Linked DNA regions of Drosophila melanogaster. The protein of the gene in region 3 interacts with the protein of the main gene of each other region in a pairwise test. Each region holds a gene or a part of one and is shown on either strand. Other genes may lie near its edges.

Region 1 (7,576 bases), on a different chromosome or scaffold from region 3:
GGTATTATTCAGCTTGAAGCGTCCGTCCCGATCGGGGATGTACTGCGTGTAATTGCGGCCCATCTGCTGTCGTTGCTTCTCGGTAACCAGTGCTCCCTGGTATTCCGGCCCCAGGAGGCGTGCGAACCCATCCAAATGGAAGTACTCACGCCCGGGCAATCCGCTTGGGTACGCATGCTTCAGGAAACGCGGCTCCAGTGCCACGCCCAAAAGCTCAAGATCGTAAACACCACGCATTGTGAGAAACTGAAGGCAGTTGGAGAAACAACGAGGATGGCGCAGTATCTCCTCTATACGCTGGCGCAGCAAATCGGGCAATCTCTCCGCCAACCGGCGTTCCACTCCCGACTTAGTTGTAATATTGAAAAGGGCCATTACCAGACAAATTCGCTCCATATCCTTGAGGCGGGCAGTCTCTAACTCACGCTCGAATCTCAGCAGTATGCGCTCCACCAGTGCATCATTGCACGTTTGCAGTTCACAGCCCAGAAGAGCCATGTGCAGGCACGTGAGGAGGGAAACGCGATCCACTTGCGACTCTAGAGCGCTTAACATCTTCTTTAGCGGCTCCACTTGTGGCAGCTTGCTGCTGTACCGCAGCACCTTGAGCAGCGCTACCAGGACAATGTCTTCCACGGTGTCCAGCTCGCTGCCTAATCGCTGATAGAGTTGCGTTAGCAGCTCCGGATTTCTGATAGGCGTCTGTGTCTTAAAGAAGCCCATGGCCATTACGCCCAATTCGGACAGCGTCATTTGATCCACGCAGCGGGCCAGATTCAACTCGAAATCGAACATCTCGAAGACGGGTCGGCGCAGTAGATTGCACAGGAACATGGAGTGAACGAGCTGTTCTGGCGGCAGCTTTCGCAGCTTGCGGCCGAGCTTTTTCAGCGCCAGCCACACGTACTCGCCTATCCTGACCAGACCAAGACGATACCAGGCATCGCTCACGAGTAGCAATTGTTCACTGGACCATCGCTCGATGCGGCGACAGCACTCGATGTCCAGGGTATTCCATATCTCCATGTAGTTCTTGGCTTTGGGCGATTCCGGTACGGGCAGCTCGGCCAAGGCACTAAGCGATCCAAGAAGTTGTTCATCCGTAAGGCGATGCAGCTGCTCACAGAAGCAGCGGGTAAAGGCTTCGTAGCGGCTATCGCTGATCTTCAGTTCCATGCGATTACAGTGCCTCACCAGGCCTAAAAAGTCCGCATAGAGATCGGCAGCACTGGCATCTGGCTGTGGCCGCATAAAGCCTTCAGATGCGGGCAAATCCTGCCAGGCGGAGTCCCGAGGACGCAGTATTGCATACGGTTTGAGAGAATCCATCAGGATTCCATGGGCGAACTGATTCTCTCGGTCCGCAAATATTCGCGCTGGTGAAACGATCGTCGTGCATACTTGGCGGCGCAGACGTCCCACACTTCGCCAGAGGTAGTTTGTTCTTGCCCACATGTTTTAGAGCGATATTTGGTTGTAAATTAATTCAATTCAATTGAATTTGAATGGAAAACGCGTTATGAAAACATTCGTTGAAAAACCTGCCGGCTAAACAGCTGACTGGTAAGCAGCGTTGCCAGAACGAAGAAATTGGAGTGCTCGCAAGTGGGAGAACTTAACGAAATATTCTGCTCTCAGCGCTTGGCTGCTATCGATAACTCCACTGATATCCAAATGGGTAGCTACTAGAATGTAGCTTTACAAATTGTAACGTGTTTTTTCAACTTATTTTTGTTTAACTTAACACAAACAAAAATATTTAGCTATACAATTCTATTTCACACTCAAATATTAATCGAATGTTTCGATAACGGTATCCGTGGTCGATAACGCTCTTTAACCATTTTGCGTTTGCAACCGCCGACTATCTGGCGTCGCAAGAAACCTTATTTACGTAGATATATTTACGTAGATACGCTTGCACTTAATAATCCTGTAGTTGCAAGTTGTTCCCAAACTATTTCCGAGTGATTTTATGCTACAAAAGAGTGAAGAGTGAAGCAGTGGTTCCATCGGATTGCCCACCGGTTTCTCCGTTCCGAGAATTCTCGACGGCTTGTGTGGGGGAAAGGCGCGCGTAGGTCAAGATTGGAGCTATCAGGTGTCTAGGACATGGAGGAGGAGCCTGTTGCCATTGAAAATGATTGCCAGATAATTGTTTGTAAGTCCGACAGTTGGTCACCTGGTCAGCCGTTCAACTAACTTCCGTTTTTTTTTTTCCTCAAAGCTGACACAATTGGTCAGAAGACGAATGGCGTGGATGACGATAAGGCCCCAAATCCGTTCAGCAGATGCACTTATCCGGGATCTCGGGATGGCGGCATTCTGCAAACCTATAGGGCAGAGAGGCTGCTCATCGCTTTGGTACGCCGCCAGCCGCTATTGTATGACGCCCGGCATCCGAAATTCCGCGACGTCGCTCAAAGGGAGAAACAATGGAAAAAAATCGCCAGCCGCCTGGCAACGAATGCGACCAACTGCAAGAGATCCTGGTCGGCGCTGCGATATAAATATCAGCGCCATGTTCGTCGTCTAAGAAACTTTCATCGCAGTGCCATCCAAAAAGATCGGGCGGCCCTGCGTTGGCGTCCTTGCATGGAATACGAGGAAGAGATGCGCTTCATGTATACCCATGTGGCCAGATTCCCACTGATTGTCGACAAGATTCCGACAGAGATTCTTGAAAAAGAGCATGTGGATGAGAGCGAAACCCGGCCCGATGTGGAGGTCATAGAGAATCCGCCAATGGACATCATAGATTTGGATGTCGAGGAGGACCCCACCTATAACTACCGTTGCAACAGGTTACAGCGTCGCCTCATAGAGGCAGTCAGTGCCTATCCCCTTCTGTACGATAGCACGTGCACGGGCTATCAGAACACACGACATCGCTTTCTAATCTGGAGTGCCATTTCAAACGAAGTCCATGACAAAGCCACCAAGCTGATGAAGTGCTGGCTAAAGCTGCAGACTCGCTACGAATGGGAGTTAATCCATCGCCCACGTCATATCGGCACTTCGGAGCTGTGTCGGTTGATGGACTTCATGGAACCGCACGTACAGCGCATGCGCGGCACCGTATGCAAGTCTTCCAAGTACCTGCAAAACGGTTGGCACGAGCCCATTGAGAATTTCCACACTGTGATGGCGCTGATCACCACGATGCGCAACATGCCAGAACTAGTTCAGCTGACGGAGGACTCCCTGCACAACAAGGTGAAACCGCCGCGCTACGACGAATTCTGGCAGAAGGTCGGCATGGAAGTGATGTGTAGTCACGAGCACTGCGAGGTCACCTGGCTGGTGCTGCGCGCCTTTTACCACGAATTGCAGGCCGTGCGCTCATCCGGCTATCAGCTGCAGGACAAGTGGTTCTTTGAGGGCTCCATGGGTCTGGCCTTAACGCCAGTTACCTCTCGTTCCACGGCCCGTCCCGCACTAAAGCGGACAGCCAACGGCGCCATACCAGTGGCGGGGGAGCCTCCGGCCAAAACACCGGTGCCGGTACGTATGCCATTGGCTATTGTCTATCCGTCCACCTCAAAAGGCAGCAGCACGAGCATGACCAACAGTGCAAGCACTGCCACAAGCATTGGCCCCACCTTCACCAATGTTAGGAGGTCCTCTGGCCCAGTCATTAACAACACATCCACCGCCGCCGCCGCAACGAACAGCGTCAGTTCGAGTGTATCGCCCGATCAAGCTCTTCCCAAGTTTGTGATTCCCAAAATCACGTCCGCCATCAGTGTGGGCTCGGGATATATGATACCCCTAAAGTTTGTGCCCAACGTACGAATTTTGCCCAAGCCGGCGGCGACTATGGGAACGGGCGTGTCCCCCATCGCCACCACCAATCAGATGGCGGGCCCAAACGCAAAGCCGCCTGAAGTGCGTCCACAGATAACGCAGGGTCCTGGCTTACAGGTTAAGCTCCATACGAAGCCTCAAATGGCCAGTAGACCGCAAATGGCACCTGTAGTCCCCCGCACTGTAATTCGAACAACGAATCCAACCAATCCAGCTCAAACTCAAGACAGGGTATCCGGAGGGCCAATGTCGACACTGGGTGAACTGCTTAGGCCACAAAATCCATCGCAAATACGTTCACCAGCTCCGCAACAAACACTGCCAAATTTTGTACCAATAACAACATCGAATATTACAGCTAAAAGCAATCTGCCAACACCCACTGCGGCTCCAATGGTACGAATACACCAGCCGGGACTGAAAAGCGCTTGGGATGGCAAAAGCAATAGCGCTCCGTTCAGTAAGCCAATAAGATCACTATTAACCACATCTTCGCCTGCAGCTGCTCCTATTGTAGCAACTGCGGAACCAGCGAGAGCAAAAATAATACCACCAAAGCCCAAATTGCCAGCAACAACATTAGTAAACCCCAAAAAATATCAACCAATCGTACCGGTAGCAGTACTACCTACAGCAGCAACCAGGATGGCCAAACCTGCAACAGAACCAGCAACTGAGCTGCCTGTAACTACGCCACCAATCGCCACTGGACAAACAACTCGAGTCATACGAAAAACACCATTATTTCCTACATCTGCAACACAAGCTGCATCTGACTCATATGCCACAATACAGGGCACATTAGCAAGCCAGGCTAAAGCTGTGGGAGCAGCAATATCAGCACCAGTGGTCAGACCAGCCAAATTGCCGACAGTAGCCAAGGCAACAACAGCATCGCAGTCAGATATAAAAGCAACTGCAGCCGCATCCGCAACCCTAGGCAGTCAGCCGGAGAACTTGCCGCTTGGCAACATAACCGTGTGTCTGCACGAGAGTGATACCACTGGGAATGAACTGCAAGTTTGGTGCGGAAATCAGGGTACTCGCTTCAATCTCAATATGATTAGGACGACGACGTTGATCCGCGAGGTGATGGCTGTGCCGCAGCTGCACAAGGAAGATCCACAGTTGGCGGCCAAGTGTGTTGAGTTCTGGCATTTTATCGCCAAGAAGTTTCACATGCCAGGTAGGAGTAACTATATATATATTAGAAACATTGGCTCATACGTTCTTTTGTTCTGCAGAGGAAGCTTTGCGCGCATGCTGGAAATTCTTGGCGGCCAACATGAGTGTGTTTCCAAAAATTGCGCCGATGTCGGAACTGATGCGTCCGTTTAAGTACAGCGAAAAAGTGTGGGAAAAATCGAATCGCTTGTTTGGCAAATTTGACGAGATAGCGCTAAAATACCAGTGGTTGAATCACAAGAACGTGTTGCCGGAAGTAATACGCTTCTTCGCGAAGTACGAGTACCTCTACTGCGATTTACGCAGGCCGCGACCTGGCGAAGATGCTCAAGCTCCGCCCCAGTTGACGAATCAGGAGAAGCAGGAGGTGTGGCGGGAGGCCCGCCTTAAATTCCCAAATCGTATGTTTAATAAATGTTATAAGCCAATCATTTATTAGTAATTTTCTGTTCTTTTGCAGTCAATCATCGGGATATTTGGTCAATGTTTAAGTTCGCCTTCCGCACATACCTGGATGATTTAGAGCGCGGCATCGATAATCCCTGGCCGCAGAATTGGTGGCAGGCACTGGAGCAACTCAGGTTTCTGGTCAATGTGCGCTACCATCCGCTCGAGCCCTACTACTATATAGTGCACAACAGGATGTCAGAGGAGGTGAAGCGCTGCAAAATGCACGAGGCTCTAACGTCCTCCGATCATATCGATAAGACCAAATTTACACCGAGCAAACTTTTAACGGGCTTTTCCAAAGAACCCAAGCCATGGGAGACGGAGGAGGCCAAGCGCTTGCTTACCGGCAAGTTGAATAGCGTGAGAAGCACTGAAACTCTCACTCAAATTGCTCCAGCTCCGGCTCTAGCTTTGGCACCCGATGCCCAACCTATTCCTGTACCTGATGGCGTTTCCGTGTCCAAAAAGACAAGCGAAAGCAAGCCAGCGTCAAACGCCAACGTCAAGTCTCATAAAGACAAGAATATCTCCACCGCCCAAAAGCGGCCGACCCCAGCGAGAAGTGTCACCTGTAACAATCTATCCCCCATTGAGGCGTTTGAGTTGTGTAAGAAATTGCGTAGCCAACCAAACAGCTTCGAGCGGGCGAGCACTCTGGACAAGCGAGCCGCCTGGGTTCGCGTATCAAAGGAGTTGCATGCCACAGGTAATCATTTGCAAATATGTCAATTTAGACATTTGATTAAAAGTACATATTTTGCAGTGACCGAATGCCGCCTTGGTCTGCAGTACGCTCTGCGCGAGATGCGCAATCTGAAGATCGCCGATCCAAGCAATCAATGTACAATGGGCCACAAGTACTTGCACCACATGTCGGAAATCTATAAGCAGGTGAAGCCGAACGCCCAGCTGACAGTCCGCACGCCACAGCAGCTCAACCAGTTAAACGAATCGCTTGCGAAGAACACTCAGGAAGTTAGCCCGCAGGAGTTCCTGCCTGAGATCAATTTGTCCACTTGCAGTCCGGATCTCGTGGTGAAGAATTGGGCCTACGCCGTCGGTAACTTGTCCACGGCCAGTCAGGATACACTGCTCGGCAAGATGACGCAGCTGTTCTCTAAATACGCCAAGGTCAATCCGCCACCGCCTTAGCTCTCGAAACTTTTGGCACACGTAGTTTAGTCATACATATTCTCTGTAAGAACTTTCGCCGTACCATTGACACCCTTCATTGCCACAGAATACATCTTATTTATTATTAAGTGCATGAAATTGCAATAACTTTTTTTTTTTTTTTAAGAGCCCTCTAGAATAACTTGAATAAATGGCCACAGTCAACTTTCATATGATGTTTTGCACTGGGACTGTTAAATTTAAGATTTTAAGAGTTCCTGAGTACCATAGGTATAATACCAAACTGAAACTTGCGCAATAATAAACAGTATCTAATGTTGTTAGACGCTTAAAGTCGCAGAATGATAGCGATGAGGGCAAGGCCCCATGATTATATGTCGGTCAGCCGGCCCCGCCCACTTGTATGGCCTCTCCGAGGACATGAAAGTAAGCCCGAATAAATTGGGCGTGCAATTGGGAAAAGATTTGATTGCCAAGTTCCTGGAGGAGTGGCTAGATAATAAGGCGCACGTAAAACACAGGGGATGATTGTCTAGGACAAAGGAATGGCCAAACTATTTGACGATATACTATTTAAAGGATTTTAGTAATCCTCCCACATTTCTTTCGAAATGACGAACAGTAAACAACGGTTACTTTTTGGCTCTACCACCTTCTTCGCCAAGTTATAAGGAAAATATCAGATTTTCCTTTTTGCAGTTTTTTGTTAAAAAAAAATCACAATTTCTTCGAAAGCAATTAAAATAATTGTCCAAATGTGGAATGTCACACCTCATTGAATTCGTAAAAAATTCCCTATCGACCTGGATTCAAAGTTGGAAATTCTAATTTTTTGCCATTTTTCGCAAATTTTGATGATGGGTACCCCTTATCAAAAATGCGAAAATTTGTTACAAAATTTTTTTTTTGGAATCATAAAAATAGTGATAGGGATGGTTAGCTATACCTAATGGCAGTACAAAACAGTCTTTATTTTAGCTGTGCCACCTTTTTTGGCCAA
Region 2 (3,299 bases), on a different chromosome or scaffold from region 3:
TGTGCAGCGCGCATCAGCTGAAAAGCGTAGAGGGCTAGTGTGAACACACCCAAAAAGATTGCGACCGGATGCTGACGCGTCATCGATGTCGATTGCATCCAGTAGTTGGGAATTTTTCAAGTTAATTCGTGCACTTTGCATGTGAGTGGCAATTGGGCTTTGATTGATTTCGAAATGCCAGGCGGCGCCCCATTTTATTTCGCTTCTTCTCTTTCTTGTGCGCTTTTGCCATAAATCTTGCATAAATCGATTTAATCTGCCCCTGGCCACGCCCACCTGCTGGTGGGCCCCTCAATTAATTATACTTTTTCAATGTCAAAATGTCGCTGCAAGAAAGGTGCGCCACCAATTTAACCCTTTTTTTTATGTACGTATTAGTTGACTGCGTGAATCTTGAGGCGCCTGCAACATGGAATCTGAGAGCTGAGTCTGATCCTGCGGCTTAACCTTCTTTTCTAATTGCAGGTTTTCCAACGCCCCGATGTGAAGGTCACTGACAGCATTAAGTGCACTGGAAAAAGTTTAATGAGGCAAGTGCACCATTTATGAACTGTTTTTTTTATGAACTTTCAAATACCCCTACAGACTTTTCGCTCGGTGTATACATACACGTATAATTTCGCGCCCGGCAGATAATGCCGCCGGCCTGTCTCCAACATCAAGCTGCGTCTAGGAGGCGGAGGGCGTGGCTGGGCCGAGCTAAACTCACTTATTCACCTGCCCGCATGCCAACAAAGTGCAGCATCAGCAACCAGTTCGCATGAAAATGCATAATCAATCACCAGCGACAACGGCGACCAGAAAATGAAGAAAAACTCGTGGCAGAAGAGTCAATACTCTTTATTGACATTGCACCGCAATGTCTTCGGTGCACAATAGTTTTATGGACTAGGCATTTCGTGATCGTTTCTTCCTGGGACTCGGAGTGGTCTCATACCCATTGTCCGACTCCAAGTCTTCTTCATCGCCCTCATCCGTGAACACAATACGCTCCTCGTAGAACGAGATGACCATTTGGGGGCACCGAACGTTGAGCACTTCGGCGGGCACCAGGCCGGCTTCGTCGCAACCCTTCCACTGCATCAAAAAGGTCAGCTTACCGGACCAGTTGCAGGCTCCTAAGATCCGCAACGGTTCGAGTCCAAGATCAAATCCATTTCGTTGCTTCACCGGAAGAGCAGTAGAGGACGTCAAAGTGGAGCTGGGCATCTTCCGTTTGGTTTTAGATATCGTGGGATTTATTTCAATGTAATCTATTTTTCTTTTTTCGACGCGCGTAGCCAATTGTCACGTTTTGTCAAGTGTTTACACACCGAGATATTATTTTTCAGTTTCGATAACTGTAGGTATCGACATGCTTTGGCAACCCTTTCGATGTGGCAGCCCTAAATGATTAATTTGAAAAGCGTTAGAGAAAATGGAAATAAAATTGTACACTCCCCTTGACTGGACATATTCTTTCAGATTTAGTTAGGGTATTGTGCATTCCAACGCCCATTGAGCGTATCATTGGTGCATCTTCATCTGACATTTCGCACGACTCGAATGTCAAGGCGCGATTGCCGGCGATACTACTTGCGATATTGGCCTCTTACGCGGCTCCACTTGTTAACTTGAATTCGTGTAAAGTGGCCGCTCATTAAAAACTCATAAATCAGGGCGGAAGGGAGGAGGGTTTTCGGTGGCACCGCCGCCAGTAATTGCCGTTGCTGGCCCAGTGTCAAAATAAAGGCAAAATAAAGGAACCCAACTCGTCGGCGGAAATGATCGGCCACCAGGTGATGGGGATGGTGGGAATGGGGCATATGGATACTACAGCTAGCTGCCAGTAATTTCCGCATATTGGAAGTCTCGTACTCTCAGATGGGCATGTGATTAATGATTAATCTGCTCGGTGCATCCGCCGCTATGACATTTAGCCAACGCCGCCTGAGAACCCGCTGCAGCAACAAAAAGAATCCGATTCGGAATCAGAAACAGAAACAGAAGTCGGTGGCGGGGTGGCCAGTTAAAGCCGAGGTCTCCGGTCGCCAGTTGGAGCCATTAAACGCCGCTGGAGCTGCTTGGGCGCACAATTTAAAGCAGCAACTAACGCAGTTAGACAACAAACCACTTTCAAGAGCTGGCTGGCAAACAGGGAAAACGGCTTTCAACTCGTTTCGCTGCCCGCTCAGATGCAGTTGCATACACTGAGGAAAGTGATGTATGAGTTCTTCAATTTAATCGATTTTTGTGTAAGAATATTTGGCTCGGTGTGTATGTATTCCAGAAAAATAATTAATTCCAAAAGTATTTAGAAACAACATAAACTTTTTCTACATTTTCCAAAAGCTTTTATATTTAAGAACATATATATTATTAGTTTTTCATAGGAAATAATTTTCCTTCTCAAAACATATTTTTTCAAGTGTACTGCCGTTAATGCTGCTGATGCCGTGGGTGCAGCCGTTGAATGTTGCATGCTGCTAGTACGTTCAACTTTTGCAGTTAACAGTTAGATTTTGAAATGGCCAGCAGCACTGGCATCGTCGTCGGCAATGGTATCGGTTCTCTGGGATTCCAGTTTTCTGGCCACAGCCTGAGAACCCGGCGATCAAGATGCGCGGCTCCACCACGACGGAAGGAAATTGCCGTCCAAGGCGAAGTCACAGCTCCGATCGCAGCATTGCGCACATCAAATAAATACTGGTACTTGGCAATTTTTGTGTTAAAACAAAATTAAAGCAATGCCAGCCGTGCTGCTCTGCGGTGTAACATTAACCCAAATACATAATTCCCATTCTCGCCTCATCGGCATCGGACAAGGATCGGCGCATTAATCATTGGACGGCAGGGGGACAGCTCTTGGGAAGCGGCAGCATATTTGGGTTTATGGGTGAGCCCCAGTATCCTAAGCAGGAAATCATTAGAGTGCGATCCAAGGAATCCGCAGGGGTTTGGCTCATGCATACATACTTATACGTATTTCTTGGGAATTTTTTTATAGATCTTGGCTCTGCCTGATGGTCGGTTTCTAAGCCATCAAGCGGAGATCATCGCGTGACTGGGCAACAAAAACCCATTATAAATTCCTCACATTTATGATGTGTCCTTCTGTCAGCGATGATAAAAGATCCTACCAATCTGTTCTAGTCTTGTGAAATAGTCGTGTTTTGGTGGAGATAAATATATATTGATCATGAGTGTAAATAAGCTTGCCAAGAGCTGTTGGAAACTATTTGTGCAACATATCCACTTCTAAGAAGGTAGGTTTTTCGCATGGGCATGTGAAAAATAAGAGCTTTAAACAAAATCTCCAT
Region 3 (4,182 bases):
CATGATGCGCTTTGTGGCGCAACAGGCAGCCGATGGTGGCGGCTCCTCAAACATTCCTTTATGCAATGGCGGCAATGGTTACCACTGCAGCATCAATGCAGCATCGAGTGGCAGTGGGAGCGGAAGTGGTAGCAGTATCAGTAACGGCAGCTCGACGCACGGTTTCGCAAACGGTTCCTCCAAAGACGTAGGCGGCAGCACTATGGCCAGCAAGCAATGCATCAACTTGTAAGTTGTAGTCTGATTATTCGACAGCAAATACATAATGACATAATTTTGTTTTACAATTGGAGACGAAAGCAACGCCTGAATGCAGTGCGCGCCATTTTTATACAAGCCTACGGCAAGACGATTGGACTGAAATTCAAGGAGGGCTCATCCATGAACCTGGCCACGTTCATTGGGAACCTGGCGGACCAACTGTTTTGAGAAAGGATTAGCAGCTATGACCGTTTGTTAGATTTCATCAACATTGTTTGTTTCTTGTTAAGTGCTACGCTTTCAACCAACGACTGTATTTATAGACCTGTTAAATTGCGTTCTTTAGTATCTGTTGACGATTGTGTAGTGTAACGGATTACTGATTACCGATAAGCATCGAAAGAACCAGGCGATCGTAGGCAACGAGCAAACAAAATCCTGTCGTCCTTCTGCCCCGGCTAAACCGCTCTCCTGTTCTCTAGGTTCTCCCGCTCCTTGTTTGTTTAGTTATTAGTTCTTCGAGAATGCAAAGCAAGTGAAATATAAAATGCTATTTGGATTATACAATAGTTTTAAGTTGTAATTTATAGTAATGTATTTTTTAATAAACTTATGTGCATTTTATACGAAAGAAAGTCATGTTCTCAGCGTAGGCCGCCTTGAGCGCCGTATTCTAGCTAAGGGTAAATAATCATCAATTTCCACTCGCTTCAGCCGGATGCGACACCTTTTAATGTAGTATTTCGCGCTTTTAAGAGGAACGAAGCGTGGTGTTTCTATCGGTCGTTCGTCACATTTTGTTGTATCTTTAATTTTAGGTTCAATAGCTGTTTCTATTTTGATTTTGACATCATTTGATCCTTTGCAAGCATTATTATATCTGATTCTTTTATTGGCACTTGCGACATTGGGTCTTATTTTGTGTGGGCTAATGCCGAATCTGTCCATGGCCGGACTGAGTAAATTGTCTGCTGGGAGCTCTTTCACCCGTATCGCTTTAAGAAATTCGTCGTATTCGCTCTGAACCGTCTCCAGGTCCTTAGGACCCAGCTTTCGAGTAGCTTTCTCTTGGCGCTCTTGCTCCAGGATGAGGGCGAGGACCTCCACTTCTAAATGCCGGCGTTCCGCTTGCGCCATAGATTTCACGAAAGGCAACTGACTGAGAAGAAACTCCTGACACTTGGTTTTCGGCACATCCGCCGGATTCGGGGCTTGCATGCGAATGTGCACATCGTGCATCACCCGCCACAGAGGTTCAGGGATTTGCCCTTTGGAACCGGCCAAGGCTCTGACCAGCGGGCGCAGCTTCACCCAACGCAGCTTCAGTTCACTTACGGAGAACGGAGTACTCAGCTCAACGTGCTCGTAGCTTTGGTTAAAGGACTTGGCCAGCTGATCCCAACCCCAGGAGTCGTAGTCAACGTCCATTTTGGGCTCCACCTGCGGGATGATAAGGAAGGGATACCGGGCGAGCATCTCCATGAGCAGCAAGTCGTTTAAAACAATCTGGCCGCTGATGTTGGTGTTTGATATGTTAATCTCCAAATGGGGAACAGTGGAATGGATCACCGTTTCCTCGGCGCTGTCGGTACTCATTTTAATATTTTTCGCACTGTGTTTCTCCAACGTTCTACAACACATTTGTGTACTAATTCATCCGTATGTTTTAATATACCACTTAACGGTAATTTCTTTAATAAAATCTATGTTTTTAGAATCCGAGTTTTAATTTGTGTTTGCTAACTAATAGCGATGGAAATTGTTTGAGAACAGCAATCGATAGGTAAGCGACCAAAGCGATAGGTAGGAAAATATTTGGCTTAAACAATCGATAACTTATCAGACCATCTCCAGCGAGGAAGAAGCGTCGTGAAAAAAGCCGCAAAATATACACAGACGGAAGTATTTTCGCGAATTACTTGAACACAACGTGCGAAAAAAATAATCGGAACGCCCCAATATGAGTGGCGGCACCATGCTATATGGCGGCGACGAGATCGGCGCCCTGGTCTTCGATCCTGGACATCATTCCTTGCGAGTGGGCTACGCACAGGAGGATTCGCCCAAGGCGGAGATACCCTCGGTTGTGGGGATTGGAGCAGCTCCAGAGACCAATCTCGATCCGGAAACTAAAACAGACAACAATGCCACGCCAAATAGTTAGTTTCTACATCGCCTTTATTTAGTTTATGGCTTTTAAAAACCCGGAAAAACCGGCAATCCCTACCCCTACTCTAGATGCTGACCAGCGCAAGTTCTATGTGGACACCAACTACGTGACCGTTCCCCGTTCCAATATGGAGGTGCAGACCTATATGAAAGACGGCATGATTGACAACTGGGACCTGTTTGAGAAGGTTATTGATTATGCCTACGCCAATGTCATTCAGTCGGAGCCGGAATACCATCCCGTGCTCTTTTCCGAGGCATCGTGGAATGTCCGCAACAACCGCGAGAAGCTAACCGAGCTTATGTTCGAGAAGTACAATGTTCCAGCCTTCTTTCTGGTAAAGAACGCCGTTCTGGCTGCCTTCTCCAGCGGGCGGGCCACCGCTTTGGTTGTCGATAGTGGAGCCACCCACACCTCGGCCGTTCCCGTCCATGAGGGCTATGTCCTATCCCAGGCGGTGGTTAAGTCACCCCTGGGTGGAGACTTCCTTTCACGACAGTGCCGCCAGCATCTGGAGAAGCACGGCATTGATCTGTCGCCGGTATACAAGATTGCCTCCAAAGACGTTGTTAAGGAGCGCGACAACGGACGCTTCACGCTGCGCAAACTGCCAGAGAACCTAACTCAGTCGTGGCAAAACTACATGTTGCAGCTCATGATGCAAGACTTTCAGATGAATGTGCTGCAGGTCCTAGAAAATCCGTTCGACGAACGGGTTGCTGCTCAAATCCCGACGGTACACTATGAGTTTCCTAATGGTTATCATCAGGACTTTGGCTCTGAGCGGTTCAAGATAGCCGAGAGTCTCTTTGACAATGCAATGCTGGGAGCTGGCCAATTGGCGTCCACCAGTGTGGGCATGTGTGATGCGGATGTGCGGCTGTCACTTTTCGGCTCAGTTGTCGTTACTGGTATGAATTTTCCCTAGGTTTTAAAACTAATTACTTATACCTTAATATTTTGCTCTTAGGTGGCAATACCCTTCTGCAAGGCTTTCCGGAGCGCCTAAATCGCGATCTCCAGCTGCGTGCCCCCTCAAATACGCGCCTAAAAATGATTTCTGCCAATGGCAGCGTGGAGCGAAGATTTGGAGCCTGGATTGGCGGCTCTATTCTAGCCAGCATAGGTACTTTCCAACAGATGTGGATATCGTCGCAGGAGTACGAAGAGGCCGGCAAGAGCCAAGTCGAGCGGAAGTGTCCGTAAGGACAGCGCAATCGAATTCCAATTTTAATTTTAAAGACGCAACTCTATGTAATAATATAAATGTGAAATGTGAAAAGTGTCCCATTATTCAGAAGACATCTGAGCGTTTGTTTAGGAATAGATTGCATTTGATTACGGAAATGTTTTTAGTTACACACATATGTATATATTTACTGCGACGCTGACGCGGACGTTACAGTTTCACATTTCAATGGAGTTTTCACCGGCTGCCTTTTGTCTTTCGGATCTAATTCGTACGTAATGGATATGGAGTGAACTCTGGGTCCTCGCTTTTTGTGGAACTGTTGATAGAGCGGTGGCACATAAATCTTGCGGCGAATCAGCGTCTCTTCTGTTATTTCGTGGCAAAGTTTTATAAATCGTCACATGGCTCCAGACATTGTGTTGTTGCAAACGCATTGCTATGGGCGGAACACATGATGAACTTAGTTTTAAATGATGTTTATCTCGGCTCACTCACCTTGGCATTTAGTATGTCCTCCGACCAGTCCTCCTTGGCAATTCGACCAACAGCGTTGACCAGAATCTTCTTCACCTTAATTACGTTCTCGGCAAAAGTACGGAGGACATCCTGCACGTTGACA
Region 4 (4,277 bases), on a different chromosome or scaffold from region 3:
TGTGGATCCCAAGGTAGGTTACCAAATTGCTTGTTTTATTGTTTTATAAAGTAAACCATTTTACCCAGATATCCGACTCGCTTCACTTCCTACCAAAAATCCGTGCTCCGTCGACAAAGGACCAGCGCGATATCCCTCTATATGGCATCATCACCATGCAGGTAGTGGAGCCTAGTCTATGCACCCTTGAGTGGGAGGGATTTTCACAGCTGCGCCTCCACAAAAAAGCGGATCTTCTGCTTCACTCTAGAGATGCCGACGGGGTTTCCCTCTGCCACGGTGGCCTGGAGATCAACTGCATGCTGAAGTACAAGGACTCCAGTTCCAAGTTTCTACCCGTTGAGGTGTCGGACAATCGTGATGGCACCTACAACATATCCTTCACCCCGGATGCCCAGGGCACGTTGATTCTCACGATCACCATTAACGACCGGCCCATCAAGGGAGGTCCTTTCACTTTTCAAGCGCGACAGGTTCGTCCGCATACGGGCATCTACCACTGCTGCTCCTTCTGTTCCGGAAAGGGCAACCGGAACGTGATGTGCTCGTGTGAGGGTCATATGCCTGGATATAGTGGCTGCGGTCATGGACATGCTGGACATCCAGGGAGACGTCATTGGTCCTGCTGTGGAAATGTCCTTGAGAACTCGGAATGCAATGTGGCCAACAAACTGCTTAATTCTTAAGTAATTGATTAGGATGCAGGGCTATAAAACGAATAAATTAACATATAGCCAGGTTTCGCCATTTTGTTTGTTCATCTTGTGAAATTTCAAAGATCTTGTAGTTTATACGCACGCGCAGATAGACAACAAGGATACTTCAAAATAAACGTTTTTCTACCTGCAAAATACATGCATTCCAACAGACCCGACAGTCCATTTACAATGTGCACACAATAATCTCAGATTGCTAAGGCTACAAAATCCCTTTCGACCTCTGGAATTACCAATTGAATTCTCCTTATTACCATATGGTCAGCATATGCGCGTCATATCCTGACCGTTGAGCAACAAGTCGCAAATAAAAGTTACTTATATAGGCTCCAGCAGAATAAAGGTTTTTTTTATTTATTGAAAATGGTTATCATAAATACAGACACTGACTCTGGACATTTATGGAAAAAAGTCCGATGCCTTAAGAGTTGGTTGGGTGGTTTTGAAAGCGCCTGCAAGGAGCTATAATTCTAAGTGGGTAATTTTTCGTTAAATGTATAATCGTTCTTTTTCGCTTTCGATGATCCAACTGTTTAATCTTCATTATCAGAGTACCAGGATAGGCGCTCTTCGTAGAAGTGGATTACCATTCGTGGGATTTTTTCATTGGCCACTGAGGAGGGCACCATTTCTGCTTGGTCCACGCCTTTGAACTGAATGAGGAATGTCAGGCGGCCATTATTGTCGGAGGCACCCAAGATCTTTTCGGCCTCCAGGCCGCGATCGAATCCGGTAGATCCTGAAACGGGAATGGTGTCCTGCTCCGCATCTGTGGTACGTTTTGATTTATTGCCAGAGGGCGCTAAATAAATAAAATAAAAACAAGTAATTAATACAGTGCAATTTTTTAATAGATGCATTTTTTTATTGCAAAGACCATCTTTTTCTTGCGCATGCCATTCTTGCGAAGGACAAAATTTGAGATACATATGTGAATACAGTTTTGACGAAAAGGGCAAATAAATGCCAGTGGATATTGTAGGTGATGACTATTGTTATACCAATTTGTGTACAGAAAATATTTGTAGGTACACTCAATTCCATAGCTTACCTGTTGGTTCTTCGGACTTTCGCTTGCTTGCTGTGGACGTCGAACTGCTGGCGCGTCCTTGAGTTTCCTTGGCCTTGGCGCTGCTGCTGGGTCGATCCTTCTTGGAGGCGGCTGACTTCTCCTACGGACCGAAACGAGATGTAAAGGAAATCCTAGCAAGCACAACTGTACTTGGCATCGCATTGTACTTCACTTACCTCATCCTTGCGGCTCGCCTCGTACTGCTGGATAAGATCCTGGCAGTCGAGATTGTTCTCCGGCTCCCACGTGTTCTCAGTTTCGGGATAGCCCTTCCATTTCAGATAGTACTCCACCTGCAGGTGGAAAATGGCGTTTTAGGACCAAATATAATGGGACGTCTGGTTCGGAAAACTCACCTTTCCCTTGCGCACCCGCCTGTCGATGATCTTTTCCACGGCGTACTCCTCCTCCTCCTCTTCGGCATCGGAAACCTTTGCCGAGCTCTCAGGGTTGTCGATTTTCTTGCCCATTTTGTTTTTATTAAAATACTTCACACGACAAAAAATAAGGAAAGAATTAGCACAACCGCACACAACCGCACACACACGCAAAGTACGAAAGGAAAGTACGATTTTTAGTCGACTCTCTTTGCTTTCATGGCTCACCTAGATTAAATAAGATCTACACTTTATGCACGCAGCTAAATTGGTTTTTATAAGCCTGTGTGTTGGCGCTAGAAGACTTTCCACAAAATGAAAAATCTGCAAAAAAATGCGCGTTCTAAAATGACGCCGGCCGAACAGTGTGCGAAAGTACGCGTGGACTGCTAAGACTACGCTTATCTATTTTCCGATAGATTTGCACATCGTATTAATTTCATTTTAAGTCTAGAAAAATGTTAACACTAAGAACTATCTAAATTTTACAACATAACTATAATAATAACGTAACTAACTGATCGCCAATATCTGTTTTTAAAAATTTTGTAATAAATCGATGAATCGATTAAGGAATCCGTTGTACCACAACTATTATCGACGCGTTTCACAGCACTGAATAAGTTGCGCGAATATTCACGAATTTTTTGACAATTTGCGTTTTGTTTCTTCTGTTTTACGGAAATTCTATAAAAATGCCCAAAACAAAGAAGAAGGATTCGTCCTCAGATAGCGATAGCGGTCCAGATGATGTAAGTTAACTAGAAATACACCAAAACTAGGTATAACAAGTTAAAACCTCTTTCAGCGTATCAAGCCGGCAAGCAAGAAGGCGAAGGAATCTGATGCTCCAAATTCAGATCCAAAAGATTCGGGCGAAAATGGTGCTACATCTTGGACCCTGGAAGGACTTCGCCAGGTGCGAATCAACGAGTTCCGCGGTCGCAAATCGGTGGACATTCGAGAGTTCTACGATAAGGGCGGCCAAATTCTTCCCGGCAAGAAGGGCATCTCCCTATCTTTAATTCAATGGAAGAAACTCCTTGAAGTGGCCGAAGAAGTCACCCGCGCGATCGAGAATTAATTGAAGTTCATCCACATGCCAAACTAAGTCGTAGCCATATGTACTAACTATAGACATATCCACTGAATAAACGTTATCTTAAACACTAGTAATTGAAAATCTGTATTTTCACAGTTGCTGAAGCATTAATGAATGACCAACTTAATTGCCTGATAGGTATTTTCCTTATCTGCTTTGTGGTGGGACTACAAAAAGCACACATATACATAAATGAATGAATCCTTTATTGGACGTCATATGTACATAGATTTGTACATTGATAGCATTTGATATAGATATGAATATTAAAAATAGATGCCCAGAATGGTGAAGATGGACAGGAGAATGGCAAACGGCAGCCAGGTCTTAATAAAACCCCCTATTCCGACGTAGCGGCCGCAGACAAAGAGCCACATGCTGAGGATAATCATGTTCCATGCGGTGCTGTCGTAGTAGCGCATGTAGATGAGTGCCGTTGCCACATGCGAGTGGCAGTTGTCACAGAAGATATTGTGGATGCGGGTGCCGTAGAGCACAGATGCTTTGGAGACCGCCTCGTCCCAGGCGTAACTGCCGCCCACCATGTGCTTGGGGTGCAACCTTATGTACCGGGTGGGTCTTCCAAAGGCCATGTTGTCCTCTGATACGAAGTAGGGGCCGGCGAAGTCACGAATCACACCGGACGAAGTGCAAATGCCCATATGTCCGATCATGGGCATCAGCCAGGTGAGAACCGGAATGGGAGTCCAAACGATGCAGTAGGGGAAGCGTTGGTCCTTTACGTTGATCGGAGGCAGTCTATCCGGAACGCCATTGCCGGCTCCTCCTCCGGAACTGGCCATCGAGATCTGAACGTCCTCGGACTGTTGCCGCTGCGGACTTGGGTTTGTCGACATTATTACACTGTATTAGGTTGATATTTGTGCGGGGAAGCCACAAGAACAGTCACTCACGGTCTTCCCGGCCGTAATGCCCATGAAACGAGTCGCTAACAATTCCAATTGGGCTTTAATTGTACGATAAGGAGAAAATAAAGCAGTCGCAGTTCA

The links.
Region 1: the proteins of Lhr (region 3) and Hmr interact in a two-hybrid assay, tested with the Drosophila melanogaster proteins (one study listed by BioGRID).
Region 2: the proteins of Lhr (region 3) and HP6 interact in a two-hybrid assay, tested with the Drosophila melanogaster proteins (2 studies listed by BioGRID).
Region 4: the proteins of Lhr (region 3) and Su(var)205 interact in a two-hybrid assay, tested with the Drosophila melanogaster proteins (3 studies listed by BioGRID).

Annotation. Positions count from the first base shown.
Region 1 is NC_004354.4:10,590,129-10,597,704, reverse strand, and holds Hmr (hybrid male rescue), read left to right. Parts: upstream 1-1,849; 5' UTR 1,850-2,112; coding exon 2,113-2,161; intron 2,162-2,227; coding exon 2,228-4,993; intron 4,994-5,051; coding exon 5,052-5,393; intron 5,394-5,452; coding exon 5,453-6,148; intron 6,149-6,205; coding exon 6,206-6,594; 3' UTR 6,595-6,785; downstream 6,786-7,576. Other genes in the region: CG2124 (uncharacterized protein), read right to left, coding at 1-1,455.
Region 2 is NT_033779.5:4,576,895-4,580,193, forward strand, and holds HP6 (heterochromatin protein 6), read right to left. Parts: upstream 1,325-3,299; 5' UTR 1,210-1,324; coding exon 889-1,209; 3' UTR 825-888; downstream 1-824.
Region 3 is NT_033778.4:17,428,820-17,433,001, reverse strand, and holds Lhr (lethal hybrid rescue), read right to left. Parts: upstream 1,971-4,182; 5' UTR 1,843-1,970; coding exon 838-1,842; 3' UTR 783-837; downstream 1-782. Other genes in the region: EDTP (Egg-derived tyrosine phosphatase), read left to right, coding at 1-228, 294-429; Bap55 (brahma associated protein 55kD), read left to right, coding at 2,162-2,360, 2,440-3,282, 3,342-3,577; Mtap (methylthioadenosine phosphorylase), read right to left, coding at 3,961-3,999, 4,059-4,182.
Region 4 is NT_033779.5:8,208,586-8,212,862, forward strand, and holds Su(var)205 (suppressor of variegation 205), read right to left. Parts: upstream 2,538-4,277; 5' UTR 2,259-2,537; coding exon 2,145-2,258; intron 2,082-2,144; coding exon 1,965-2,081; intron 1,889-1,964; coding exon 1,768-1,888; intron 1,519-1,767; coding exon 1,250-1,518; 3' UTR 1,041-1,249; downstream 1-1,040. Other genes in the region: CG8419 (uncharacterized protein), read left to right, coding at 1-13, 69-686; Ssb-c31a (single stranded-binding protein c31A), read left to right, coding at 2,861-2,917, 2,974-3,249; CG8372 (uncharacterized protein), read right to left, coding at 3,534-4,124. UniProt on the Drosophila melanogaster protein: Structural component of heterochromatin, involved in gene repression and the modification of position-effect-variegation. Recognizes and binds histone H3 tails methylated at 'Lys-9', leading to epigenetic repression.